Linked DNA regions of Mus musculus. The protein of the gene in region 7 interacts with the protein of the main gene of each other region in a biochemical or structural test. Links are inferred from orthologs where the notes say so. Each region holds a gene or a part of one and is shown on either strand. Other genes may lie near its edges. The genes, in order: Rab5b, Mapt, Rab8a, Map2k7, Map2k3, Lgals8 and Lrrk2.

Region 1 (4,062 bases), on a different chromosome or scaffold from region 7:
AGTTACAGGCAGCTGTGAGCAGTGGTACTGGGAACAGGCCTTGGGTCTTCTACCGGAAGTGTATGCTTCTCTAGCTTGCCTCTAGGCCCTAGGTTCAATCCTCAGTACCGAAAAAAAAAAAAAATCCTCAGCAAAGTTGTCTAAATGTTTTTTCACATTTACAAACAATTCAGAAAATATCAATGTGAAAATATTTAGGAGGCTAAAGTGTCTTCAGACTACCACTTTCTGTTGTCATGGCAATTCACCCCAAAACTACTGTTCTCTAGTGCGCCACTAAAAAGAATTTACAAGATAAAAGTTGTTTAATTTCCTGGTTTTGGGTCTTTACTTTTTTTTTTTTTTTTTTTTTTTTTTTTTTTTTTTGGTTTTTCGAGACAGGGTTTCTCTGTGTAGCCCTGGCTGTCTTGGAACTCACTTTGTAGACCAGACTGGCCAGACTCAGAAATCCGCCTTGCCTCTGCCTTCCCAGTGCTGGGATTAAAGGCGTGCACCACCATGCCCAGCAGGGTCTTTACTTTCTTAATTTGACACAGAAAGCAGGGCACGGGGAGAAGAGAAGGTTAATGCTGGTATCATTGTTTTTTGTTTTTGTTTTTTTGGGGGGGGGACATCGTTGTGTAGCTTGGAACTCATGGAGATCCTCCCGATTGCTAGGATTAAACATGTGGGCCACCAAGCCCAGTTTACTCCCCTCCCCATCCCCCTTATACTGAGGTCTTGTTAAACTGAGTATCCCGGGTTAGCCTCAAACTCAGAACTGCCTCCACCCCAATCCACTGTGCTGAGATTGGGAGTGCCACACCACACCCGACCAAAAGCCTTCTTCACTTCTTCACTAGCCTTGCCTGCCTGTCAAATTCGGAAATTTCCCAATACTGGTTAAAATTTCCTTTTGACCCGCCTTCTTCACTCACCTGATTAGATGTTTACGAGTCGAGAGGCGGGGGAGGGGTGTCACGGGTGTTGAGGTTCTATTGGCTGACGCACATGCCTGTCAGTGATGCACTGCCCCCTTTCCCAGGAGCTCTCTCTTTAATGGCTACTTATCCCGTCAATCTTCAAGGCTTCTCGTGTAGGTATTGGCTTGCGGCCTCGCCAATCCAGTCTCTCACTTGTGCTAGTTGGTGATAGTCCCTCAGAGCCCGCCTTTCTCCAGAAGATTGGCGGGCGGACGCTCACATAGCCCACCCACCACGGTAGGCGGGTGATCTTGCGATTGGCTGGAGCCGCCCCGGCGAGGAGGAGGAGGAGGAGGAGGCGAAGGGGGTAGGAGTTTGGTTGAGCTGCAGCTGTTTGTCTGTTCCACACAGGCTTGGGCCCGACGGGGGATACGGAGCCCCAGGTACCGAGCTGATGGAGCCCACAAGGGCAGAGGCGGAGGTCCCGAGAGGAGCGCCGCCTGGCCTGTGGCAGAGGCGGGGCGGGCCGACGTCAGGGCTCCAGAACCTCCTGGAGAGGGCCGAAGGGGCTGTCCCACAGGCCTAGTGGGCGCTGAGGAGGTGATCGGCAGGGCTGGGAGCCGAGCCTCTAGTTGGGAGGCGGCTGGGTTCTGGCTGTGGTGGCCGCTCGGGGGCCGGGCGCGGGGACCCGGAGCCGGTGAGGACCAGGGCCGGCCTCGGGACTCTGAGCACCGCGGTGAGGAGGGAGGAGCTGGGGTCGGAGACCAGGCAGTGAGGGAGGGGAAGCCAGCCCATTTGGCTGGAGGTGTGGAGGGGACAGTGCTACGCCCAGCCCCGAGGGTAGCCGAGGCTGGGTCTCCCGAGACATCCACTGTTGGGGCTCTTAGCCGAGAGAGGCATTCTTTTCAGGGAAAGTGACTGTTGAAAGGGGAACTAGGGGTACTGGTGTTGCCGAGAGGGATTTGGTCTCACTGAAGTCAATGAAGAATGTAGAAGACCAAAGTGGAAGGAAGTAGAAACGGTTTGCTATTAGTAATGGGAACTTCTGGAATGATGGTGAGGGGAGGCTCAGTATCTTGGAAGTTCCTTACTCTTCTGTTCCTTTAGTGCTTGGGTGTGGTGATTTGAAGTTTTGGGGTACTTCAGGAATAGGGAATGAAGACAAAGGTAAAATTATGTATTATTCCATGGCGCCTGGCAGCTCTACGTCCAGCCCCCCCCCCCCACACACACACACCACTTTAGTTTACCCTGACCTCATAGCTAGTCATGACTGCACTCCTGTTTCCTTTAGGTTTGCTATTGTATTCGTTGTTTTTCCTATTTCATCTACTGTGAGAGAACTAAGAAAATTTGGGAGTGCTTTGCTCAGTCTTTCCCACTTCATAATGTGATCTGTGGTGACTACGCTTATTTAACCTAGATTTGAGGAACTCTGTCATTTGCATGGAAAGGGGCAAAGCAATCCCCAGCCATTAAAAAAAAAAAAAAAAAAAAAAAAGGACCATGTTTATTGAAACTTCTGTGAGACTTGCACTTGAGCATTTCCTAGATAGTTAATGGGACAGACTATTCACGCCAGGAACTGTGAGGTGATATCCCTGAAGGGATTTGGGGAAGAATTGAGAGGTTAGCTACCAGAAGGTTGGCACCATCCTTTCTTCTTTGCCCACTTATTCAGGAACGTGTGTGTGTGTGTGTGTGTGTGTGAGATTAGTTATTTAGGTCAAACCTTGAGGTATTTAGAAAGATGGATTATAGAGAATGAAGAAGTCTTTAAATTATATTATATGTAATAACCTGCATACATATGTGAGCCACAATGTCAGAGGATAACTTGTGGCTGTTTGGTATTCAAACATGGCATGTGTGTGTGTGTGTGTATGTATGCATACATATATACACACACACACACATATAGAGGGAGGGGTTTGCTAACCTGTCAAATTTTTTATAGATTGGACCCTATTGGTTTCTCCCTTAGGGTTCTACCTCCTCTTCCTCCTCCTCTTTCCTTTCTATACTAATGTTAGTGATCACTGAATTTATTTATTTTTTTTACCACATAGTGTCCTGCATATATACCACATGCATGCAGGACCCCTCAGAGGTCAGAAAAGGTACTAGACCCGCTGGACAATTAGGAGCTGCCGTGTTGGTGCTGGAAACTGAACACAGGTCTCTTACAAGAGCACTAAGGGCCGCCAAGCCATCTCCATAACTTGTATCACTACATTTCTTAATTATCAAAGTAACACATACATATATTAAAGTGTTTAAGCTGTACAGAAATATATAAAATCTGAGTCCTTCTATACATAGCTTATTTCATTTAGGACAGTTAGAGGTATTAAATAAGACTAATCAAGAGCAGAATACTATGGAAAGAATGAGACCATCATTTAGTGAGCACATGAAAAAAACCCAAGCAAAGACAGGTTTTTTTCATGTGCTCCTAAATGCTGTTCTCATTCTCTCCACGACATTCTCTTGGATGACACTCTGCTATTTATTGTGTTCCCTTTGCCGTTCATCTTGCCTTCTATCAAATTCAGAACAAACATAGAGCTGTCCTTTGAGTTATCATTTGCCTTCTTCAGTGTATACACATAGTGGTGCACTGGGTAGTCTAGAAACCGCCCAAATGCATAATAAGCAAGACTTTTATAGGCAAGAAAGAAACAATAAGGGGAATAATTTTGTTTAGGATAGTTGTTAGCATCTCTACTAGAGTGAAGAATCAGAAACCCCTCGTTCATCCACATTTTCACAGTACTTGACTGTCTCTTCCTTATCTCAGGGAGATGGTCATGGTTCCAGAAGAGGGTCTTGTACCTGGCTTGGTATAGTGACCCAAGAAGTTCCCATATTTCTCTGAATTTGAACTTGGACTTTTTTGACTTTTTGAAGCCCTCTAATATGGTCATTGCACGGTGTCCAGCAAAAACCTCAGTTTACCCCTCCTCCCACTTTCTCACCTACACAGTCAGTCCTGGAGAAAACTATTGGGATGTGTGTATGTGTGTTCACCCTCTGTAATCTTTGCCATCCTTTTGTTTTGTTTTGTTTTGTTTTGTTTTTCGAGACAGGGTTTCTCTGTATAGTCCTGACTGTCCTGGAACTCACTTTGTAGACCAGCCTGGCCTCTAACTCAGAAATC
Region 2 (4,300 bases), on a different chromosome or scaffold from region 7:
GCCAGCACAGTACCTCACTCGACCCCTCAACACAGTGCAAAATGGGAGTTCGAAGACGCTGTGATCTGAGCTTTGTTTCTGCACTGGGTAAAACGTTCTGTCTCCTCCCCCTCCCGCTGATTTTTCCGCTGTGACACCTTTGCCCAACGGGCCCGCTATAGTCAGCCCCCCCTCCCAGCCTTCCCCTTTCCGCATCCAGCCCAAGAGCCTGGCTTCTTCTAGCTTAAGAATCCTGTTCCCAGCAGCCCGTCGTGTGGCGAGGGATGGGTAGTATTTGAACCTATCTTTCAGATGCTCGCGAAATTTCTGCCAGGCGGGCCCGGCCACGATGCCACAGCCTCAGGCCGCGGTTTGATCGGGAGAGGGCGTTCCACCCCCAGCCTACATCAATCTGAGTGAGCAGTCGACGTGGGCAATTCGGCCCTTAAGAAGCTCATCCATCGGTCTCAAAACTGCTTACCCGCACCAGTATTCAGCGGTAAAATTAACCAGAAAACCTCGAAGACCGAGCTTACTGTACGGTGGGGAGGCTGGGACCTCTTAGCTTTCTATCCCTCTCTGGTTTCAAGGGCTGTTGTAGATGTGGATTTTTTTAAAAATGAAAGTCCCTCATTTAAATGATATTAATAAAATAATATCAGTCAGCACGCTTATAATAAAATACATTAGAGGCATCTCTCTCTCTCTCTCTCTGGATGGCTATGGTTGCCAGTGCCAAGAGAATGATGCTCGCATCAGGGATGAGGGGCCCCTTCCTCGTGTCTTCCAGGCACTATCAGACTACCCCAGGATTCTAAATCTCCGCGGAGTAAGGGGGGGGGTGGGAGGTAGGGGGTGGGAGGTAGGGGGTGAGGTAACGCCCAGAGGTTCCTCCTCTGGCTGGTGTGGTTCCTATGGCAACCCTTAACCCTCTCTCCTTGGGTTGGGAGGGATGGGTGTGGCCGCAGTATCCCAGGGGATCTCATACCCTCTCCTCACACTCTCCCACCGGGAGAGGCAACAGGGTTCAACGGTGGTGGTGGTGGTGGGGATGCGGAGTTGAGCTTGCCGAATCTCCCCATTCCCGAGGGTTATCTGGCTCCCCTAGCAGTGAAACACAAGTGGGGTGTGGTCCTCAGGATGGCCTGGGTGTGGGGAGGGATGTGCTTCCTCTGAGGGCTCCTGCACACGAGAGTCTATCTCGAATCCCACCCATGTGGCTCTGGGTCGAACTGGGGAGTGGGCTGCCGCAAGTCTGTAGATCCAACAAAGGGTCTGAAAAGAGTGGCGAAAAAAGGATGGAGCTGCTCCGAGTGCGTAGGCAAATATCCTCGTCGAATGAAAGCTTCCCGCCTCCCCCCGCACACTCCCCCAAAAAACCAGGGCTGGGAGCGCAGATCCTAAATCACACGACGAACAAAGCAGCGAGCTCCCCTAGACGACCTCAGGTGAACGCTCTGGTGCGCACCGCTGCAGAGGCAAAACGCCAAGGCTTCCGTGTTCATCACCCCCTGTTCTTTAACATGGGTCCAAGCCGGGTCCTCCAAAGCCTGGCCACAGCTCTTGGCATGCTACGATAGAGACGTGACTCGCCGCAAAAAGATGGCACCTCGCGTTCAGAGAGGGGGGAAAAAACGGAGAGGGGTGGCAGCGGGAGGAGACACATCGTACTCCCCCCTCCTCGCCCACCCAGGTCCACACCCACTGCCGCAGTGAGGGGCGAGCCCTGCGCGCCAGCCCGCGCCTCCGGCAGGGAGCGCACATGCCGGGAGCCCGGCGCAGAACGCAGAGAAAGAAACGCGCCCCGAAATGCACCTGCAGCCCTCGCGTGGGTCTGTGCCTGGCTGCAACGCTGCGCGCCCTCGAGCGGGGAGCCGCTGCCAGCCAGCCCGCTGACACCGCGAGGCCAGGTGACCCCTGACTCTTCGAGCTCCCACATTGGGATCCGCGCACTACCTTCTCTCGGGCACGGCGCTGCCCCTGTCACTGTACCAAGCGCGCGCAGGGGGAAGGGCGACTAACGTGACAGCGCCTGGACCCCTCCCCATCCTCCGGATTCCTCCCAGCCCCCAAATGTCCCCTGCCGGCTTCTGAAGGAGGAAAAGGGGAGGGGGCGGGCCACCGCCTTAAATCAGGGCCAGTGAAGGCCGTGTCAGAATCGCTGTCAGGGAGGTGGAGAGACATGAAGGCAGTCATCTTTTCTAGAACCCGATCCACACCTTCCTTAGGGCTGATGGCAATCAGGAGCAGAGAAATCCGATTTCAGGTTCTGTTTCGGGGGTCGTCGTTGGACCCCCATGCACACTCACAGACCCACGCCCATTGCGGCAAAAGGCTGAGATCCAGATTACAGAACAACCCCTTCCCTAGGTCACCGTCATCCGCGCCCCACCCTGCGGGCACAGCCCCCCTCATTTGCGCGGAGCCGATAGTGGGGACCCCAGCACTCATAGATACACGCATTCGCTCGCGTGCGTGCATCTCTTGCACGCGTTCCTTCCCAGCTCCCCAGCGCCTAGGGCGCAGAGAGGCCCCCGCCGTTGCGCCTGATTGATGCCCAGCTCCCTAAATCCATCTCTGGGGCGAGGGGTGGCAGGAGGACGGCGCACAGGGCCAGAGGGGACTGGATTTCAGAGCTGCGGCGCTTACCTGATAATCGACAGAAGGCGAGGACAGAAGAGGACAGCGGAGGAGAAGGTGGTTGTGGCGGCGGCGGCAGAAGGTGGGCGGTGGCGGCGGCGCTGCTGCTGGTGCTGGAGCTGGTGGGTGGCGGAGACTGAGAGCGCGCGCGGCCGAGAAAGCGCGTTCTGGAGGCCGGCGGGCAGCGCAGGCGCGAGCCACGGGAGCGCGAACCTCCCTAGGGGAGGGGCGGGCAGCGAGGCCTGGGCGGGCACCTCCCCTTCCGACCGCTAGGGGGCGCACGCGAGCGCCCCTCAACCCTCCTCTCTCCGCGCCGCTCGGCTCGCCCCTCTCCGCGCTTCCCTCCCCGGGTCCCGCCACGCCTCGGGCCGCGGTGCTGACCGCCGCGCGCACGCGCATTCCGTGGCGCACGCGCACCCGGCCTCCCGGGGCTGCAGCCTTTGTCTAGTCCAGGGGTCCCCTCCCTCGGTCCCCGCGGGGTCCAGGCAGAGCGGTGTGTCGGTCATCGTCCGCTTTTCAGTTCACCCTCGCTGGCTCTCCAGGCGGTACACCGTGAACCCCAAGTGCTACAGGCTCCCCGAGTCTCCTAAAATGTGGCCCTCCAGATAGAGCGCACTTTCTATTTCCAGGGCCAGCTGTTCGCTTGCTTTCTTTCCACCTGTTTTTGTTAATGGCCAAAGTGAATGATTTCCTTGACAAATCTTCTCGAAACAGATTAACTTGACCGTAATACACTTTAGCGTTTTCGTGGAAAAACAATTGTTTTTAAATCAAGGAGCATTCAAACCCATTAGGTATCTTGACTGTGACCCTAGCGAAGAAAAATCTTTAAATAGGTAAGTTCTAATGATGCTTACCACACACACTGCAAGGCATTTTCACAGAGTTATTTTTATCTCGTTTATTGAAACACCTTTGTACAGCGTGAGAGCTGAATTTTTAAGGTGCCTGCTGGAGATGGCCACCTGCTGGATGTCAAGCTTCCGGTTGAAATTGGTCATTAGTTCTCCTTCCAGCTACGTAGGCGTGGGCTGTGGCTTTAGCTTAATATCTTACCTCCCCAAAGCTCAATTCTCTTGGACAGCTGGAGCCTGTTCAAATGCAAGGAAGAGAGACAGGCACCTACTTCTTGCCAAAGAGGCGAAAACTTGTCTTGAAGCTTTCATTTGCATGCCGTTTTTTCTTTATTTTTCAAGGCAGGTTCTCACTATGTTGCCCTGGCTGGCTTGGAGCTCACAGAGATCCCCTGCCTGCCTCTGCCTCTAGAGTGCTGAGATTAAAGGTGTGCACTGCTATCCCAGCAGTTGTTTCTAAAACTCCAACGTTGTACCTGCTCGGTGTGTTGGCTCACATCTGTAATCCCAGCATTCAGATAGGCTGAGACTTGTTCAAGATCAGCCTGGGCTATATAGCAGAATCCAAGCCAGCCTGAATTGTATTACAGGGTGAAAGTGAGTCAACAAACAAACAAACAAACACACTTCTGGGCTGGGGGGGTGGATGGTTGTGAGCCACCATGTGGTTGCTGGGATCTGAACTCAGGACCTTCAGAAGAGCAGTCAGTGCTCTTAACCCCTGAGCCACCTCTCCAGCCCCCAAAATAAAATTTTGAGATAACTTTGGGTTCAGTTTTCTAGCACCACAAACATTTTTTCCCATATGAGCTTAATTACTGAATTAT
Region 3 (4,129 bases), on a different chromosome or scaffold from region 7:
GTACTCACCTATATTAAAAAAAAAAAAAAAAAACTTAAAAAAAATGTTTTAAGCCAGCCAGATGGAAAAGGATGTGTAGCTGACCTGTGTTGAGGCCCTTGGCTCCATCCCCAGTATTTCAAAAAGAAAAATTGAACAAACATATATGAGATGCAAAATAAGCAATACAGGTCAGCAAGATGGTTCAGTGGATAAAGGTGCTTGCCACTGAGCCTGATGACTTGAGTTCAATTCTTGGGTCCTACTCAGTAGAAGGAGGAAACTGACTCCTGTAAGTTGCCTTTTGACATTGGAATTTGGGAGCCAGAGGCAGATGATTTCCATGAGTTCCAGAACAGCCTGGTTATATAGCTAGCCTGTCTCAAACAAACAAACAAACAAACAAGGGCTAGGGACACGACTCAATCCCTAAAGTCCTTGCCACAAAAGCATGAAGACCTGGGCATGGTGGCATAAACTTACATAACATTACAGCACTGGTGAGACAAGAAAGAAGGGTCCTGAGGCTTGCTGGTCATCCAGCCTCAAACTTGGTGAGCTCCAGGATCAGTGAGAGACCAAGCAAAGATAGCTTGGTGGGTGAAGGTACTCACCCATAAACCTGACAACCTGAGATCAATCCCCAGGACCCACATGGTGGGAGGAAAAGAACAGACTTTAAAAGGTGTCCTCTGACCCATACATGTGCATAAGCATACACATACACTCCCAATAAAATAATTTTTAAAAATGAGGTGAAGATTGAGGAATAACCCCGACTGTTCCTGTATGCACACAGGAACATGCTCACACACATGCATGCATGCCAAATTGAACAACAACAACAAAACACCCCTGAACTAATGTCACCATGTTGGTGTTGACTAGGAAGTGTCTGAGGATGGGAAACTGAGGTCTGTGTTGAGAACAAACCAGAGCCTGTGGGTAGCTACTGTCACTTCCTGCTTGGTCCTCACCTGAGGGTAACTCCAAAGCTGAGTGTTTGGGTGGGGGTGTGTGTGGGGGGAGAGGCTTTAAATGCACCTGTGCCCAAACCCTCTGCTTCCTCCAGACTGAACCTTCCACTGGTTGTATAGATCTAATCCTCAACCACCCAGGGCACCAGACAAGACAGACAGTGCCATATCTACTCTAAATAAAATTGGGTCAGTGAGGGTTAGAGCTTGCTCAACCTAGAGTTCAAGTATGATGATTCCCTGTCCAGTTCCCTATACTTGACGCCTGACACACGACTGCTTCAGAACACTGACTGGGAAGGAGATATTAGATGGCATTATCACATGACGGTCAGGTCAGGGAGACAACAACTTAGTTGACATTACACAGAAATCATCCCCCAGTTTCCCTTTTCCTTCCAAGGCAGGGTCTCATGCAGCCCAGGCTGGCCTTGAACACTCTATGTAGCCAAGGATGACCCTGAGCACCCGATCTTCCTGCCTCCCTGTCCTTAGTGCTGTCATTACAGGTGTTCACTACCACATCTGGTTTCAGGGTGCTGGAGATGGCACCCAGGGTTCCAACAATGGAACCACATCCTGACTAGGGATAAACCAAGCCTAGTGACTATTCTCTTGTTTCAGGACCATACACCATCCAGGTCACTCTGTTTGGCAGGATTTACTTCCAGGTAACACTCAATGTGAGCCATGACTATTCATGGTAAGGAGCATGGTCAGCACCATTTTTGACGTCAGAACTGGGGCCATCACAAGCCAATTCTGTTCAACTGTGCCGTGAGGCAGCCCTGGGGAAAAGCTGTTCAGGTGGTGTTCTTGGCCCAGTGAAAGGAAGTCAGTCAAGGCTGCACGTAGCCATGGCTGGACTTAGTTTCTTACTGGAACTTTTTCTCTTGTATTCCCACCAGGATGACAGATACTGTCACCATTCCTCAGAGAGAAGGCAGGAGGACTTTGGGTTGGAGTCCTGACTTAGATGTGGATCAGTGGTGCTGGTCCTTTGAAGCTCTGGAACAGCTGAACCTTGAATTTTGGAGTCAGACACACCTGGGTTCAAATCTCATCCCTAATACCTGTAGACTGTGACCTTCAGTGCGTGCCGCACCCTCCCTCAGTTTCAAATTCCTCCTCCAGGGACAAAGCACCCATCACGAGTACACTACAGATTTGATACTGCACATGCCAAGCTTGCCACATAGGAAACTACGAGGTCAGGTGTCACCTCCATGCCTCAGTTTCCACTTTTGGAAGACGGGGGTCTCCCCGGAAGAACAGTGTAGAGGTCTGATGTAAAGACACAGAGAGTTGACAGGCGCCAGGACCCCAGGGCAGGCTCTTCCTCAGACTGCAGCCTGCATGTCCCTGTCTGCACCTTGGTCTCCGGCGCCCGCCAGGGTCCCGGCCTGGACTCCCTGGCGGGAGGTGGAGGCCGCTGCGGTTCTCTGTCCAGCCCCGTGACCCTCCCGGATCCTCGGCCCGAGTGGATCCTGAGTCGATCCCTCAGCCCAGCCCCATAGGGGCGCGTCCAGCCCTGGTCACCGGCCGCCCAAGGCCCCGCTACCTATGGTAGAGATGAATGTGGAGTTGAAGGCGTCCTCGGAGAAGCGGAACAGGACACAGGTCTTCCCTACCCCCGAGTCCCCGATCAGCAGCAGCTTGAACAGGTAATCGTAGGTCTTCGCCATATTACACTCTCTCCCCGACGGGAAGTACGGCCGGCGCCTCGCCACTGGTCGCTGGACCCGTCTATCATCTCAGATCCCGCCCCCTATTGGCCCCCTGCCCGCCGCGCATCATCCAGGCCTACGCCCGCCACCCGGAGCCCCGCCTGTCGCAGAGAGCCCAGGGGAAAAAGGCGAAAGCGGCGCAGAGCCGGAAGCAGCCGACTGCACAGCCCATTGGTTGACGCTTGGTATAGGGAGGTTTGTTATTGGCTAGTGCTGGAGAGTCGAGGGTGAGGGCGTCAAATGACCAGCGATGGGTGTGGTCACATCTTGACCCCGCCTTCCCGTGCGCGCCTTCTCCTCAGCCCTTCAGCGTCCAGGCCCTGCCCCCGACAGGAGGGACCCCAACAATTCCGCGCGCTGGTTGATGAGAGAGTGGGAGGGACGGGCTTGGTGAACAGGCGCAAGCGTACTGGGAAGACGGTTGGCTCTGGCAGAGAGCGCACGCGCGCAGAGAACGCCTCGTGTTTCCCGCCTTCTCTGCCTGCGCAGCAGCAGCCGTAGCCGCAGCCGGCGCTGAGGCGAAGCGCAGGAAGTACCTGTGGTAATGCTTCTGAGGAGGATTTTCGGCGGTGCAAAAGTGGCGCGGGTTAAGATGTGCTGCAGACTCGCTCCTCGGCCTTGGCGCCCACCATTGGACTTACTTAGGTGCTGTACAGGCAAGCCGGCCATTGCCGTGAGCGATCCCAGGGCTTCAGCGCCGGTAGGGCTATGTTATCATTTCCAAGTAATGGCAGCGTTTTTTGTTTTGTTTTGTTTTGTTTTCTTTTCTGTGCTTGCGGGTGCTATCTATACTTAAAAATAAGTCAAGGTCCTTCACCCCACACCAGCCCGGCTTGGTAGGTAATCTTTTCCTCGTTTTATGGTAAGTATACTGAAGACAGGTGAAGTGACTTTCCTAGGTTTCAGAGTAGCATTTTTTTTTCCCTTCTGTTTTTTAATATGTTGAGGTGTAGTCCCGGAGTAACGGGAGAACAGTGACAAAATAAAATAAAGCCACATTAAGATAAACATCTGAGGGCTGGAGAGATGGCTCAGCGGTTAAGACTACTCTTCCAGAGGCCTTGAGTTCAATACCCAGCAACCACATGGTGCCTCATAACCATCTGTAATGGAATCCAGTGCCCCCTTTTGGTGTGTCTGAAGACAACTACAGTGTACTCAAATCTTAAAAAGAAAAAAGGAGTGGGGGGGGGTGGATAGATGGCTCAGTGTTTAAGAGCACTTACTGATCTTCCAGAGGTCCTGAATTACATGGTGGCTCACAATCATCAGTAATGAGATCTGATGCCCTCTTCTGGGGTGTCTAAAGACAGCTACAGTGTACTTACATATAATAAATAAATTAAAAAAAAAAAGATCTGAGTTGCTGACTACATGGCTCAGCCAGTAAAGTAAGTCATTTGTTGCTAAATCTGAGGATTGTATTCAATTCCTGGGCATACTTAC
Region 4 (3,329 bases), on a different chromosome or scaffold from region 7:
GCAAGTGGGACACAATGCCCCCACCCCGTGGCAGCCTCTACGTACCACGTGGTGTACCGTGCTTACTGGAGGTCCCAGGGAGCAGGGCCAGGAGCAGGAGCGCAGTGCCCACCATGGCGGCCTGTCCAGGTTCGAGTGCTCCAGACCGGCAGCGAGCACCTGGCTGGGCTGTACCCAGCCCTCTAGGTGTGGGTAGGTAGCCCTGGCCTTGGTGAGGCTGCCACCCTGGGAAGCAGGGAGCGGGGGCGGAGGATGGAGGGGCTGACATCTGAGCACATGCTCAAGGCCAGCCATGGATAAGGGCTTTCTTGATGTACTGAAATTTCTACAAGGGGGGCCCCTCACAAAGCTGCCTGATGCCTTCGGTCACTCCAAACACCTCCCACCCAGCTCCCGGCCCGGCTAGTTTCCCATGAATGTCATCCCTAACCACACTAAAAGCCCTCCTCCCAGGCCCTTCCCATATCTCTGTACACTCTACCAGGCTTAGGACACCAGACTCGGAAGAAAAGGGAAGGGTTTTATTCTCAAGCGTCTAAGGATTTACAAACAAGGGTATTTTGTTTTAAAAAGGGAAGAGGGCAACACTGGTGGCCTGAGGAGGAGGTCAGAGGGTGGGACCAGGCCACTCCAGGTCCCTACCTGCCCGAGACCCACTCTGCCTGGGCCTGAGGGATGGCTGGTGACAGAGGGAAGGACTTGGGAGAAGGTGGGGAAGTGGGAGACTCCTCCAGACTCCCACTTAACATTAGAGGGCAGTAGACAAAGACAACACAGACAGACAGACAGACAGACAACACACAGAAAATAAAGTTAAATAAAAATAAAACCATCAGGCCCAGTCTTGGGCCTGTGCTGGCCCTGGGACCAGCCATGTGACCTAAGTACACACAAAGGCTAGCCATGCTGCGGCCAGCCTCAGAATGGTAAGGGTGGGGCCGGGCTTGCTACTCTCTCCCTACTTCATTCCGCCTCCCCAACACAGGAGATAAGGAGAGAGGGTGCCCTACCCTACCCGGGCATAGAAGATGACTTCTATTACGATTTAAGCATGCGGCATTGTGAGAATAGGATGAAGAGGCGTCAACAGGACAGTTAAGAGCCACAGTGTCACCTAAGCCTACGTATGGTTGCATCAGCTACTTCCAGCAAGGTTTCTCAACTTTGGTGCTGGGATTTGTGGTTGTAAATTTTTTTGTTTTGTTATATTGTTCTCTTGTCCACTTGAACTGCATGCATCACCAACAAAAAGGAAACATACCCCACTCTGTCCTCGAAACTGCAGGACAATGGGACAGGCACCTGGCCCAGTCCAGGCCACAGGTTGGGTTGGAGCTGGTCAGCTCTAGGTGAGCTAAAGCATGCTCAGGGGCATGTTGGGAGTAAGTCGCGTCGCATCCCAATACTCTGGCCTCCCCTGCATTCACGCCTGTCCGTCTCGTCCCTGATTCACATGCTCGGACCTCCACATCTACTCCCTTCACTCCTAATCCCTGACTTCTCGGGACCCCTCCTGCCCCTTGGCAGGATTCCCTCCTGTCACTGTTCCCAACAGTCCCTCCCTGCTACCTGCTACTCTCTACTGCATCCCTCATACACCTTCCCTGAAGGCCATCGTGTGGCTGAGGCCCCTGGTCTCCCTCTGTGCCACCTGAGCTCTTCTACTCAACCCCAAACTGTCAGCAGCTCCCAGTCCCATGTGAGGGTCCCCCATGGAGCCTGGCCTCTCCTAGGCCAGAAATGACAAGGAGCAGCAAGCAGTCCAACCCCCAATGCCTGAGGCAATGGAGGAGAGGGGGCCACCACAAGCAGCTAAACATTACTTTGGTAAAATTTTCTGAAGGTACCGACCCCATGAGGACACCCCCCCCCCAACACACCCCCACCAAGTACAATAAAATACAATAAACTCCAAAAGGACCCCCTGAGATCAAAGAGAGACAGACAGACACAGAGACAGCAACCATTTGGCTGCAGTCACAATGCCCACAAAGCCATCCTAGGACAAAGACTTAAGGAAGCCTAGATGAACCTGGGGCTTCCTTCCACTGAGGGTAGAGTGGCGGCACCCAGGCTTCAGAGGCTGGGAGGGAGACAGGGGAACCAGAAAGGGACAGTGGTAGAGAGGGAGGGGACAGAAGGAAAGACGTAGAGCAAGCATGTGTGCGAGAGAAGGTGGAGGGGACAGACACTGGGAGTTTGGGGGGATGGGGACAAGGGGCTTTCTCTCTGCCCCTGGGGGTTACCCCAGCCCAGAGGTTATGATTGAATAAATAGCGAGTCTGCTCATGGCCTGCTGTCTTCCGTTCACAGTGTCTGTCGGGGTGGGATGGGGCTCACACTGCTGGCTGACCCCAGAGTGGGAGGGATTAGGAACCAGCATGCCCTTTTGTCCACAGCTGGTAGGCAGGGAGTCAGAGCTGGATGGGAACCCCCTACTTTCTGTCCTCAGTCCTTGGCAGTCGTCCAGGTCCCAGGTCCCCTGATGGGCAGCTGGGTTGGCCAGGTTGGGGGGGGGGTCGGTGGCCGTGGCCCGGGGCCCCTGCGGGGCTGGCCGCTGCCATGAGGCTACCTGAAGAAGGGCAGATGGTGCTGACTCAGGACTCCACTAGTCCTTGGGGACTCGGTCTTCGCCATGACATCCTTAAACCAGGACGCGACATCCACCTCGAGTATCTCATAGTGCTTGATGAAGCTGTGTTCCTGTAGGCCCAAGAGTTTGCTTATTATGAGGAGTCAGTCCTCCTGGTCTTGCAACTGAGACCCGGAGGACTTCACACGTGGTGGGGGTTGGGGGAGAGGTACTCACAAGTAGCTTATTATACTTTGGTCTCTTCCTGTGATCTTTAGTAAGGCTGGACAAAGAGCAGGGAGAAAAGAGAAATGAGAGTCAGAAAAATGAAGCCCGACTGTGCCTGGATGCCCATCTATGCTCAGGCCCTCCCTCTCCAGTAAGCCAGAAGCAGCTGCTCACAGCCAGGCTCCACCAGGCTGGGGATCCACAAACTCTCCTGGCCCAATATAGTATTAGGTAAAGACCCAGCTGGGGAGCTGGAACCACGCGCAATGTGAGGGTCACATCAGAGAAAGTTAAGACTCAAGTGTGATATTCCTACACAACCTCCATTGCAAAGCCACAGGGTCGCCATGCCAGACACCCACAGGGCCAGCGGTTCCCCACAGGTCCAAACAAACCCAAAAAGTGACTCCCAGGGCTCCAGCTTTAACTCCTGTCTACAGCCACAAGCCATGGGTGTACCTGTAGCTGTGCCCATCTCATCCCGTCCCCTTTTCCCAGCCTCCACCCTCCCCAGTAGCATGAGGACACC
Region 5 (3,945 bases), on a different chromosome or scaffold from region 7:
GGAAGGTTGATCCACAAGACTGAACTGAAAGAACTGATACCCACAAAGTATACTAGTATACTACATGTGGCATGCATATATATATATATATATATATATATATATATATATATATATATATCATGTGTATATTTTTTTTTTTGGTTTTGGCTTTTCAAGACAGGGTTTCTCCGTGTAGCTCTGGCTGTCCTAGAACTCACTCTGTAGACCAGGCTGACCTCAAACTCAGAAATCCGCCTGACTCTGCTGCCTCCCAAGTGCTGGGATTAAAGGCGTGCACCACCACTGCCTGGTTGTGTGTGTAATTTTTAAGTCTCCTGCAAAGGTGAAAAAGAGTTCCTGTCAGGGTCCACATTGGTATGGCCTCGCCAAGGTCTCCACTTTGCACCAGTTGCAGGGTCACACTGAGGGAAGCATCCACTGTAAAGACTGCGTGCATGATAGGTGGTCCTCTGCTTCAGCAGACCTCACGCTCCAGTGAACATGGGGGTGATAGCCAGGGTCCCAGGGTCCCATGGCTCCCCTAAGCACCTCACATGGGAACGGGATGGAAGGAGATCATCATAGAACCTGCTGTAGCTGTGCTCTGCCAACATAGCTGTGCAGCCTCTGTGAATGGTAAGTGTTCCCCAGCCTCTGTTTATGGGCAAATGGGGTGATGAGTAATAAAGCAATGTATAACACGTGGAAAAAAGAAAAAAAAAAACCTCTTAGAGTTTTGGTGAATGGATATTGTCAGTTTCCCACTACAGCTATCTCCAGACCCCTAAAAGGCTACAGGGATTCTGGCCCAGGAAAAAGCCTCCACCCAAACCATCCAATACCATGTTACCTAACCTACAATCTGCAAACTCACACTCAGAAGAGAGGCCCGGAACGTCCAGTGCCAGGCCTCAAGTCACCAAGCACATGAAAGCCCATGGTCTCTCCCTATCACTCACAATCTCTCCGGCTGTGATCTGCAACTGCAACTTTTATTTTGGTGAGGCATCTCTTGCCTGGAAGAGCTGAAATGCCTCCAAAACAAACACTGCTTCCAAACCCTTCCTGAGTGGAGCAGCATCTAATTTCCTGGTTCTCAAGTTCCACGAGGTCTGCACTGCAAGGTCCTCCCCAGCCACCTCCCCCAATAAGTGCCTCCCTAGTTACTCACAGAAGTTGGGCAATGGTCAGGGATCTGGCCTCCCACTTATGTAAGATGCAATTACCCCGTCCACTAGGCTCCTGCAGGGCCATGGAAGCCAGCTGTAGGGGACCCAAAAGGCCCCCGCCTGCTCAGGACAACCTGACCAGGACCAGGACTCCTGAGGTTGAGGTTTCCTAGGTCAGAAGGAGAGAAGGCCACCACTGCACAAGTACCCTCTTAGGTGCCCGCCATCCCTGTCCTCTGTGCTCTGCAGCTGCAATCCAAAACTGGGCCCAGCGTTGCAGCAGGAAAGCTGGAGATAGTCAAGGAAGTGCAACAACTATTTGCCCCTGGGTACCTACTATGTGCTGGGCGCTATGCTGGGTTCTCGATCATCTCAGACGTGCTTGCTTCAAACCACTCTACATTCAATCTCACATCACGCCCCTAATATCCATTTCATTAATAAGTCCTAGACATGCCCAGAGACTAGCCAGGTGAAGCAGTTCAGAATTCAGAGGGTCAACCCATTCATATCTCCAGGTCCAGCTTGGAAATCTTTTCTGCAGATCAACCCTACTGAGTCTCTGACATGTCAAAAAAAAACATCCTTCTCTCTTCCTGGAGAAAAAAAAAAAGCATTCTGACCTCCAAATCTTGTCCCCCTCACTTCCCATGACAAATGCTGCTGCTGCAGCCCACGCAGCACCACTGCCACCTCACAGAAATTTCCAGGAAAGACAGTTAATTGGAGAAGGACAAGCTTTGCACAGCCAGCCCCTGGCCTGCTGCTAGCCCAAGGACCAAACAGCACGTCTAAGAGCAGACTAAGAAACACTAGGTGCAAGAATCGGTCAGCTCGGGAAACTCAGTGAGAAGACTGCAACTGAGTAGCAGGTAGCATGGGCAGAGCTGCGAAGTGGAGACGCCAGGAAGTTCTACAGGGACAGCCTTAGGGAGGAGTGCAGGCAGCCAGTGAGCAGGCCAGCAAGACATGGGGCAAAGGAGGATTCACAAGGATGGAAGGAGTTGGAAGAGTGGAGGAGCTCTGAGTAGACAGGTTTCCGGCATTGGGAACACAGCCCTGGGGCCCAGAGTAAATTCCAGCCTGGACAAAATCCAAGAGCCTGGCCTGAGAGGGCTAGAGCAGCCCAAAGACCCTCTAGCAGGGATCACTGAAATCCCTGAGTCCAGGATGAAGCCCGGAAGCCTAAATGAGGAGCTCACGGTGAGGCTACAGACTTGGGAGTGGAGCGAGAACTAGGTCCTGCCTGGGTGAAGTCCCACGGCCTAAGATCCGGATTCCAATAAGGTCCCGTGAGGTCCCGGGCTTGGGCTGGACCCAGTCCTGGGTTGGAGTGCAGACGTCTGTGCCCAGCCCGGAAGGGAGCCCAGGATCACGGGCGGACTCAAATTGAATGTGGCACGGGCCGCGCAACAGGGCGGGAGAGCCTACCTTTGGTCTGAGGCAAGCTGGCCGGCGGGCTCGCGGCGGGCGACTCCATGCTGCGGACCGTCGCGGCGGAGAGCACTAATCTAGAGGACAGCAGACTACACCGGGGCCGGGCGCGCTCATGGCTGCTGGTGGCTGGCAGCGGCGGCAGGCGATGGGCGACAGGCGACACAGACGCGACGGTTCCAAGCGTCCGAGGCGGGCGGCGCCAAAGCCACACTGGGCAGCGCCGGACGCCTGCCGACGGCGCCACGCAGGCCCCGCCCATCGTACTGATTGGCCCGCCTGAAAAGGCCCCAGCCTATCAGACGCCGCCCGGACTGTCACGCACAAACCCCACCCTCCAAGAGCCGGAATCCAACCCAGCTTTCCCCTTAGTACAGCTCGGCTCCGCCCTCTTGCCGTCTAGATGACTGCCCTACCCACTCGGGGGATTGTGCTGGCGTGGTCCTGGGTGCCCCAGCCTGTGCCCCCCTATGGCACAGCGTGTGCGGGTCGCAATCTGGAAAATCCCAAGATCTCTAGGGGGGCAGGGCAGGGCCGATGTGCTCCGTGGGGTTAAAAGTGTTCCCTGAGTGAGACTAGACTCCTAAATGGCTGAGCCATACCGAGGATGAGCGTCCATGTGCTCCCCTGAAGAGAGCGGCGACCACCGGCTTGCCTCCTAGGGCAGCAGGAAAAGAGCGATCCCACGGCGGGCGCGTGCCAGGTGAGTGTTCACCGACTGTGGGAAAGAGTTTACTGCGCCTTGCTGAACGAGCACGCGTTTAAGTCCAGCCTCTACAAGCACCTGGCACGCCAGCACCTAGGGAGCGGGGAATTCAGTGGCTAACCTTTGCCTAGTGACAAAGTAACTGGTTGTAACATTATAGCAGCTCCACTCTCCGGGCTGGGGAGTAGTCTCCGATTAAACAAAGTGTCATTCCAAACACTGAAATACCTTTTGCCAGCCTTGACTGGGGTTCCATCTCGGCCGTCGGTCGCTGAGCCTCTGTCCTCACACTAACCAGGAATCTCTGGGGTCGATTGGAAAGTCAGGTCTAGTGAGGGCAAGAAGCACAAGGTCAAGGAGTCAGTCGGAGCTGGAGTAAGTCTTAGCTCTCTGGCCAACACTCAGGCCCCGAATGCCTGGCTTGCATATTTGATTTCTACCGCAGCCCTCCTCCCGTGCCACGTGCCCCTCCCCATTAGGAATCCTGAATGTCTCATCCTCTGCTGAATCCCAAGGCTTAGCCCAGAGCCATGCACATAGTAGGTGCCTAAGAAATATTTAAGGAATGAACAGAGGAAGTAGGAAAAGCATGCCACAGACATGGGTAAAGTGACTAGTCCCGTGCCAGGCTCTTGGGCACCAGGGTGACTCAGA
Region 6 (4,104 bases), on a different chromosome or scaffold from region 7:
AGAATATAATTTCCCAAGAGTTGTCCCCAGACCTTCCCTTCATGTGTGTGTTGTAGCGTCAAGGTTTATGCATACATGTGTGTGTGTGTGTGTGTGTGTGTGTGTGTGTGCTAACTGAACTGTGTGTTCATGCCTGGCCCCAGTGATAATTACAACTTGAGTGTATTTCCTGTCAATCCTACCACAGGCAAAAAAAAAAAAAAAAAAAAAAAAAAAAAAGGTAAAAATCTGTTACCGGGTTATAGATGATATTTTGTAGGTTATTTAAGGACAACATTTTTCTTTTTCAACTTATTGATATTGTTGATTGGAGTCTCTCTTCCGTATACACACTTTACCCACTCTTCATTTAAGGATTACTCAAAGTAAAAACTTGTCCTGTGTAAAAACAATATAGAAAAACAGCCATGCGTGATTTTTCTCTACATCAAACTTTTCTATGTAAATTATATTACTTTACGGATAGTTACCAAATAAGTGTTAGTATAACCAAAGTCCTACCATATAGTCTTCATAACATACTTAGAAATGAAATAATTTTTTTTTTCTGAGACAGGGTTTCTCTATGTAGCCCTGGCTATCCTGGAACTCACTCTGTAGACCAGGCTGGCCTTGAACTCAGAAATTTGCCTGCCTCTGCATTCCAAGCGCTGGGATTAAAGGCATGTGCCACCATGCCTGGCCTTAAATGAAATAATTTTAAGTGATCAGTGCAGGAATTATTTAAAAAATATGTAAGGAGGAAATTACATGAAGTTTCCTGTTAAAAATACTAAAACTGTAAGTGTGGTGGCACAATACCTGTGATCGAAGCCACTTGTGAGCAAGCCTGCGACAGGAAGAACAATTGGACCCTAGCCTAGGTGAGTTAGATCCCGTGTGGCAGGCAGTTCACATAAGAATGGCTCCCATAGGTTCATAGGTTTGAATGCTTAATCACCAAAGAGTGGAACTATTTAAAAGGATTAAGAGGTATAGCCCAAGCCAGGCCCAGTGCCTCTCCCTTCCTGCGGCCTGGGAATCCGGATGTAGAACTTTCAGCTGCTTCTCCAGCACCACGTCTGCCTGCATGCCACGTGCTTTCTAGTCATGGTGACAATGGACTTGAACCTCTCAGACTATAAGCAAGCCCCAGTTAAACGCGTTCCTTTTAAAGAGTTGCTATGGTCATGGTGTCTCTTCACAGCAGGAGAATAGAGACTAAGGCATCCTGTCTCAAGATAATGTTTAAGGGCTGAATAGAGAGCTTGCCTAGTGTGATGAGGCCCTGGGTTCTGTGCCAGCACTGCAAAACCAAACAAATCAAAAGCAGTAAATACAAATAAAATACAAGCTAGGAAATAACACAAAACCAAGACACAAATATCACTCAAGCAGTGCTTTGAAACCAGGACAATATTCATTTAACTTTTCCTATTAGTAAAACAAGTAGGAATCACATCATAGGATTGCCCTGAGGATTGTACTAGTTTAAATAGCAGAAAACAGCTCTGTATGTGTTAGCTATTATTGCTAGAAAACATTGCTCTTCTTCAACCAGCCAAATTAAGTAAGTTGAGGGTGGGGTGGGGGTGGCAGAGTTACTCCGGGGAATACCAAATGCAATGTTTTGCATCAGCCCGGTTTTGAAAGATAAGAGCGCCCCCTCGGCACTGCGCCCTGCCCACTGAATCATTTACTACCTCTAGTCCTGATGACTCAAACCAGAACCAAGCCAGAAAATGAAACTAGAGTTTCCTGTCTTTTACTTCCTACAGTTCCGCCAGGCTGTAGACAATAGGCACTCGCCAAATCTCTTATTTTACCGGAGAAAAGAAAATTGCATCTCTCTTGGTTACACCCCTAAAAACCACCCTAGACCCCTACCTAGTATCTGTCACTAACTCATTTTATTCAAATCCTCTGAGCCTTTAATTCTGTTCTGTGCAATCCAGGAAGCACGAACTAGAGCAAAAAGGAGACAAGGAATTGCCATCACCACATCCATAATTGATATCTTTCCCGGAGAGAGATCAAGATGGCCTAGGTTGGCATTAAATAACTACTCTCCGAAGTCTCCAGACACGTATCACCGTCAGTCACAACAAGCCGTGGCTTAGGTTTAGGACGATTCCCAAACCCAGAGAAATTGCGTTTCCCCGTGTTTAACGTTGGGATAGAATGACGCAGCATGCTAAAGTGCGTGTCTGGAATAACGGAGTGTGACACAGCTGTCAACTGTCCCTGGGCCTGTCATTCTTGGGGATCCAGGTGATGCTCGCCCTTTCCCTGGCAGGTGAGCCGCCGAGCGGAGAGCCCTCACCGCAGCAGTCAGCGTTGTCCCGACACTACGGTCCCAGTACAAGCCTCAACCCACGATCGCTCCCGGTGTCCGGTGCCCCGTGCATGTGTCACGGAGGAGACGGCGGGATGCCGTGTCCACACTCGGATTCCGGTCCGGGAACAGTGGTATCCCGATGTCCCTGAGCCCGCAGTCGCCAGGACTCACCCCGGTGGTAGTAAGCGCTTTGCTCCGACTTGTGTCCCCTGACGGACGCCGTCCGGTTCCCGGAGCCGCCACAGGCAGAGGGCGGGGTCAGCCCGCGGCCGTTTCCGCGAGAACGACTGCAGGGGCGGGGCGTCCGAGTGCTGCGAGCTGGGGCTGTTGGGCTCTTAATGTCACACACGCAGACCTATGGCTGGCTGTGGGAGTGGCTGGCTGGGGTTGGGGTGTGGCTCACCTCACGTGCTGGAAGCCCCCAGGTTGATTTCCACCCAGCTCTGCACAAATCGGTCGGGGTGCACCCCTGTAGTTCCAGCCCTGCGAGGTGGAGGCAGGAGGACCACAAGTTCAATGTCATACTGGAGAACTTAAGGAATTCGGGGTCACTCTGGGACAGATACCTGATCTCAAGGGTGTTAAAAATACACTTAAAGAATAATCGTGGGGGGTGTGGCCGGGGTACTCCTGGGTTTGCCTCCTTTGCAGCCTTGGGTCAGAACTGAACAATGTTGTGAGCCAATCAGATTTAGCAGCCACTCATTGCCAATAACTAGCCTTGTGTGTGGAGGAATTCGTTCTTCTTTGTCCCTGCAAGAAACCCCATCCTGTGAGCAGTAGCCAGAACATGTCAACACTGGGTGATTGGCCGCTTATTCTGTGCTGGAGTTTACTACAGGGAACGCTTCCTTAGGAAACAGTTTAGACACTGATGCTCAGTTCTGAGCAGAGTAGATGGTCAATAAGCACTGAGCTGCATAGTCAGGGCGCTGCACTGCTGACGGTTTGCCCCGTATTTGTACGAACAAACTTAAATAAAACTGTAGGGCGCTGAGAATGGCTGACTGAGCTACCTAGTTTTGATGTCCTAATGGCCTCAAGGTTATGTTCTTTTCTAGATATTAGCCATGTTTGTTTTTAAAGGACATGTTTGACATAGCCATTTGGTCTTTTTCTCTGGCTGTGTGTTTTATTTTGTTTTGAACTTGTATTTTATTTTTTTAAAGCCTCTTAGCAGCAACCTCGTGTTCTGATTCGTTACTTTTTCTCCTTCCTCATGTCCATTTTCTAATTTTGATTAACTCCTCAAGATTCTACTTTAATAGCTGGAGTTAACCCTTGATGTATGTTGTCTTAGCTCTGTTGTTATTACTAGGTGTGGTAGGCTTCTCACTACACTTTCTGGGGTTTGTAAGAGATAGGGTGTGGAGAGCTTTTGGAGCCCGTTTCTAGAAACTTTGCAGGAATTAAACATTGGGCCAGGACACAGAAGTAAGCTCAGGCAGGAATATCGTTTTGGGCTAGAGCAAAGAAGTAGGCTTCAGTCAAGAATGTGACTTTGGGCTAGGAGAGGGAAGTAGGCTCAGATATCTTGGTCATCTTGATAAGCCCCTGCCTGGAAACATTGATCACAGGACTTTGTTCCTTGACTGTTTGTGTTTATAGTCCTGCTTGTCCTTGACCCAGAACTGATATTATTTTGCATGTACTTAAACTGGTATCAAAGCAGACTGGAAAAACATTATAAGCCTGACTCAGCCTCAGAACTCGCTGGGGTCATGCCACAGTGTTGTCTTGTTGTCTTTTTTCTTTTTAATTCCGACTCCCTCCCTGGAGAACCTGTT
Region 7 (3,500 bases):
CATAATAAAGTTAAGAAATAACTTTCCGGCTGGGCATGGTGGCGCACACCTTTAATCCCAGCACTTGGGAGGCAGAGGCAGGAGGATTTCAGAGTCTGAGACCAGCCTGGTCTACAGAGTGAGTTCCAGGACAGCCAAAGCTACACAGAGAAATCCTGTCTGGAAAAACCAAAAAGAAAAGAAAGAGAGAAAAGGAACGAGAGAGAGAGAGAGAGAGAGAGAGAGAGAGAGAGAGAGAGAGAGAGAGAGAGAGAGAGAGAGAGAGAGAAGAAATAACTTTCCAAGTGTAGTCCAGACTCTTTCCTTAGAATTTCTTGATTTTCTACCTATAACCCTGAAAGGCTGGCATCATTCACTTATAAAGGTTAAGAAAATGACAGAGCCACAAAAGTCTAGTGGTATCAGCGCATGGACAGCAACTCCGGTGTGAGAGTCATCTTGCTGTAAGTGTGTACTTGCATGCCTGAGCCCTTTGGTTCACACTGGGATGCAGCGCACAGTTTCTTGAGCTACAGCATTCAAGGCCAGCGTGTAGCTATGAGCCACAGTGGATCTGTTTGAAATAGATACCTTCGCTATCCAGATCATCGCTCTGGCCAAACACACTGTCCATAGAAGAGTCGGGAATAAAGGTCCATTCTCCAAATTTCGCCAGCGCGTCTTCAGAAAACTTGCCGTCACTGCCTGAGGCCACGCCTTCTTGAAGGGTGTTTCTCATCTGATACCGGAGCACTTTCCTCGCTAGGACAGATCCTGTGTCTAAAAATAAATCAAACGAAATCAGTAATTATCCAGCATAAACATAACCTTTCTCAAGCTCCTTATACAGACCTGATGCTTTTAAAATAATTTTTCCTTGAAGAATAACTTTACTATATACAGTAATAGTGTATATTTGCCATATACTCTTTTCTATTACATTCTAATTTTAGTATCTGTGCTGCAGCTATATGAGGCTTGGGTATTATGGGCATTTTCAGACATGAAGCTAACTTAACTCAGGGCAGAGTTGGACTGTCACATGTGATGCCACTTGCAAGCTCATTAAGCTCTCTCAGGACAAATCAACTTACCTAGAACAAGTAGGTGGCCTGTTCAGAGCAGGATTATAGAAAATTAAATAACATGATTATGAAATCTTATGACAATGCTAAAATTTGTAACAAACAAAATTTGTTCAGTGGCTCATGTGATACAATTTTAACACCTGTGCGGGCTTATTTTATGCCACCTTGACACAAGTTAGGGTCATCCTCAAAGGAGGGAATCACAGTTGAAAAACTGCCATGATGAGATTGGGTGATAGAAAGTCCTGTGGGGCATTTTCTTAATTGGGGGTTGATATGGAAGAGCCCAGCCTACTGTGGGTTACACCATCCCTAGGCTGGTAGTCCTAAGTGCTGTATAAAGGAAAGTTGAACAAGGCATGAGGAGTAACCAAGTAAACAGCCTCCTCCATGGCCTCTGTACTAGCTCTTGCCTCTGGCAGGCTTCACTGAAAATAAACCCTCTCCCCCCCAAGTTGCTTATGATGAATTTCAACCCTAAGGCAATTCTCTTCTCAAGTTTACATTACATTTTATATTTATTTTATACCAAGAAGAAATGTGCTGGCAGTCACCATTGATCTACAGAAACCCTAGGAGATTTCTTCATAATAAATACAATATGTGAGTCAATCAAATAAGACCTGAGAAATATTTCAATGCTATGCATTCAAATTTTTCCTTTAGACAAGCAACCAATGGTATCGTGATTTTATCTTCCAGCCCAAGTGACATTAACACTTTGAAAATTACATCAAGACTTGCCACTGTAAGATCTTCACATGAAATTAAAGGAATACCAAATTTACATCCGAGGTCACAAACCCATTCTGCCAGAAATCAGAGAACAAAGGTGAGCAAGGTAGCTCACATCTATGATCCCACAGCTCAGAAGGCAACGGTGGGTTTGCCTTCAAGTTTAAATTCAATCTACTTTACTTAGAGAGTTTCAGGTCAGCCTGGGCTACACAGAGACACCCTGAAGAGAAGGGGATATAGAGATGGGGGAAGGAAAAGAGAAGATGGAAGAAAAGGAGAGAGGGGGGAGGGGAGGGAAGGGGAACGGAGGGAAGAGGAGGGGCATCATTTGTAGAACTATTATTCAATACAGTGTTCTATTTTTACCTAAGTGTGATTAACACAACCCAATGGAATTTTCAGCAATCAAAACACCATTACAATGTTAAGTTTGTAATCCTTTCTCGACCAGGTTCTTACTACACTGCCGACCCTGGCCTCACAATTCCCGTCTGAACCTCTCTGGTCCGTGTTTATCCACATTTAAGTTTGCTGCCTGATTCTCCTGTGTGACTGCAAAGGAGTCACTGGATGGCTTTCCCATGGTTTGTTGTTTTGTTTTGTTTTGTTTTGTTTTGTTTTGTGTTTTTGAGTATTTCTCTCTTCCCCCTAATCTTTTTATAACGTTTATTAATAGTTTTCATGTATATTCTCATACATAAAAATCTGTATCCTGGATGTCTAAGAATACATCATAAGTGAAAGAGTAAATAATTAAAATGTTTTATGTGTATGTCTTTCCCTATACAAATAAAACATTGTATACATTAGATTTAAAAAAAAATTCAAAAGTACATGGATTGAAAACATCAAAAGGTAGTGAACAACGGTCCTCAGGAAGAACACTTTTAATTACCGTTGATGTGTGAAGTTCTTGCTATATAGCACATGCTTTCTGTATCATTTACTACCAGCTCACCCTTGCACATTTATGAATATCCTATGACCATATGTCACATGTAAAGTAGTAACATAGACACTAAGATTCCAAGAGTGGGAAAAGCTAACTGACATCACCATGCTTATAATCTACTACAAAAAGATTGTAAAATTTAAAAAAATACAATTATCTACCATGATGATTGAGTTTGTGTACAGTGCATTGGTGGGATAGTGTCTGTGTAGCATGTACAAAGTCCTAGGTTCAAAACAATGCTGTTGGGTCTACTTGAAGTAAGAGACGACACATTCTTATTGGTACTTACTTGTTTGCTTCCTTAAATTGGATGACTTATCTGGAAATAAAGGACCAAGCCAAGAAGGATCAATTTTTCCTATGCCAAATCCTCCAAGGCAAATGCTGTTGTTGGCCAGGTCCAGGGCAAGTTTCCTGAGGAGCAAGCTGATGACCTGGCTGTCGCCCTTTTGGATGCTTACGGTCAGGGCCTTCCGTACATCTTGTTCACGACAACCACCATTAAGCAACAGTTCCACCAATTTAGGACTGCTCTCTTTCTCACATACCTAGTTTCACAAAAAAGAAGAAGTGGACACAAAACTTGAATTTCTTCTCTTTGGCTAGACAGAAAAACAGAGCTTGCTATGGTCAATCTTCATACCTCAAAATTAGGTTGAAATGAAATGAAATAAGGCAAAACTTATTCCTGTAGTAGACATAAAAGATAAAATGAAATTATTGCCACAGATGCAAGGCTA

The links.
Region 1: of the proteins of Lrrk2 (region 7) and Rab5b, one has a biochemical effect on the other in vitro, tested with the Homo sapiens proteins (2 studies listed by IntAct). The link is inferred for Mus musculus from reciprocal best matches to the Homo sapiens genes LRRK2 and RAB5B.
Region 2: of the proteins of Lrrk2 (region 7) and Mapt, one has a biochemical effect on the other in vitro, tested with the Homo sapiens proteins (3 studies listed by BioGRID and IntAct). The link is inferred for Mus musculus from reciprocal best matches to the Homo sapiens genes LRRK2 and MAPT.
Region 3: of the proteins of Lrrk2 (region 7) and Rab8a, one has a biochemical effect on the other in vitro, tested with the Homo sapiens proteins (2 studies listed by IntAct). The link is inferred for Mus musculus from reciprocal best matches to the Homo sapiens genes LRRK2 and RAB8A.
Region 4: of the proteins of Lrrk2 (region 7) and Map2k7, one has a biochemical effect on the other in vitro, tested with the Homo sapiens proteins (2 studies listed by BioGRID). The link is inferred for Mus musculus from reciprocal best matches to the Homo sapiens genes LRRK2 and MAP2K7.
Region 5: of the proteins of Lrrk2 (region 7) and Map2k3, one has a biochemical effect on the other in vitro, tested with the Homo sapiens proteins (2 studies listed by BioGRID). The link is inferred for Mus musculus from reciprocal best matches to the Homo sapiens genes LRRK2 and MAP2K3.
Region 6: the proteins of Lrrk2 (region 7) and Lgals8 form a complex in vitro, tested with the Homo sapiens proteins (2 studies listed by BioGRID and IntAct, with this or other methods). The link is inferred for Mus musculus from reciprocal best matches to the Homo sapiens genes LRRK2 and LGALS8.

What each region holds. Positions count from the first base shown.
Region 1 is NC_000076.6:128,693,469-128,697,530, reverse strand, and holds the start of Rab5b (ras-related protein Rab-5B), read left to right. Parts: upstream 1-1,262; 5' UTR 1,263-1,345; exon of another isoform or gene 1,346-1,643; intron 1,644-4,062. UniProt on the Homo sapiens protein: The small GTPases Rab are key regulators of intracellular membrane trafficking, from the formation of transport vesicles to their fusion with membranes.
Region 2 is NC_000077.6:104,229,936-104,234,235, reverse strand, and holds the start of Mapt (microtubule-associated protein tau), read right to left. Parts: upstream 2,801-4,300; 5' UTR 2,629-2,800; intron 1-2,628. UniProt on the Homo sapiens protein: Promotes microtubule assembly and stability, and might be involved in the establishment and maintenance of neuronal polarity.
Region 3 is NC_000074.6:72,159,871-72,163,999, reverse strand, and holds the start of Rab8a (ras-related protein Rab-8A), read right to left. Parts: upstream 2,801-4,129; 5' UTR 2,642-2,800; coding exon 2,518-2,641; intron 1-2,517. UniProt on the Homo sapiens protein: The small GTPases Rab are key regulators of intracellular membrane trafficking, from the formation of transport vesicles to their fusion with membranes.
Region 4 is NC_000074.6:4,245,069-4,248,397, reverse strand, and holds the end of Map2k7 (dual specificity mitogen-activated protein kinase kinase 7), read right to left. Parts: intron 2,856-3,329; coding exon 2,810-2,855; intron 2,704-2,809; coding exon 2,569-2,703; 3' UTR 742-2,568; coding exon of another isoform or gene 639-741; 3' UTR 501-638; downstream 1-500. Other genes in the region: Tgfbr3l (transforming growth factor-beta receptor type 3-like protein precursor), read right to left, coding at 46-115. UniProt on the Homo sapiens protein: Dual specificity protein kinase which acts as an essential component of the MAP kinase signal transduction pathway. Essential component of the stress-activated protein kinase/c-Jun N-terminal kinase (SAP/JNK) signaling pathway.
Region 5 is NC_000077.6:60,930,909-60,934,853, reverse strand, and holds the start of Map2k3 (dual specificity mitogen-activated protein kinase kinase 3), read right to left. Parts: upstream 2,801-3,945; 5' UTR 2,632-2,800; coding exon 2,583-2,631; intron 1-2,582. UniProt on the Homo sapiens protein: Dual specificity kinase. Is activated by cytokines and environmental stress in vivo. Catalyzes the concomitant phosphorylation of a threonine and a tyrosine residue in the MAP kinase p38.
Region 6 is NC_000079.6:12,458,939-12,463,042, forward strand, and holds the start of Lgals8 (galectin-8), read right to left. Parts: upstream 2,801-4,104; 5' UTR 2,303-2,800; intron 379-2,302; 5' UTR 278-378; coding exon 236-277; intron 1-235.
Region 7 is NC_000081.6:91,728,724-91,732,223, reverse strand, and holds part of Lrrk2 (leucine-rich repeat serine/threonine-protein kinase 2), read right to left. Parts: intron 3,309-3,500; coding exon 3,050-3,308; intron 760-3,049; coding exon 571-759; intron 1-570. UniProt on the Homo sapiens protein: Serine/threonine-protein kinase which phosphorylates a broad range of proteins involved in multiple processes such as neuronal plasticity, innate immunity, autophagy, and vesicle trafficking.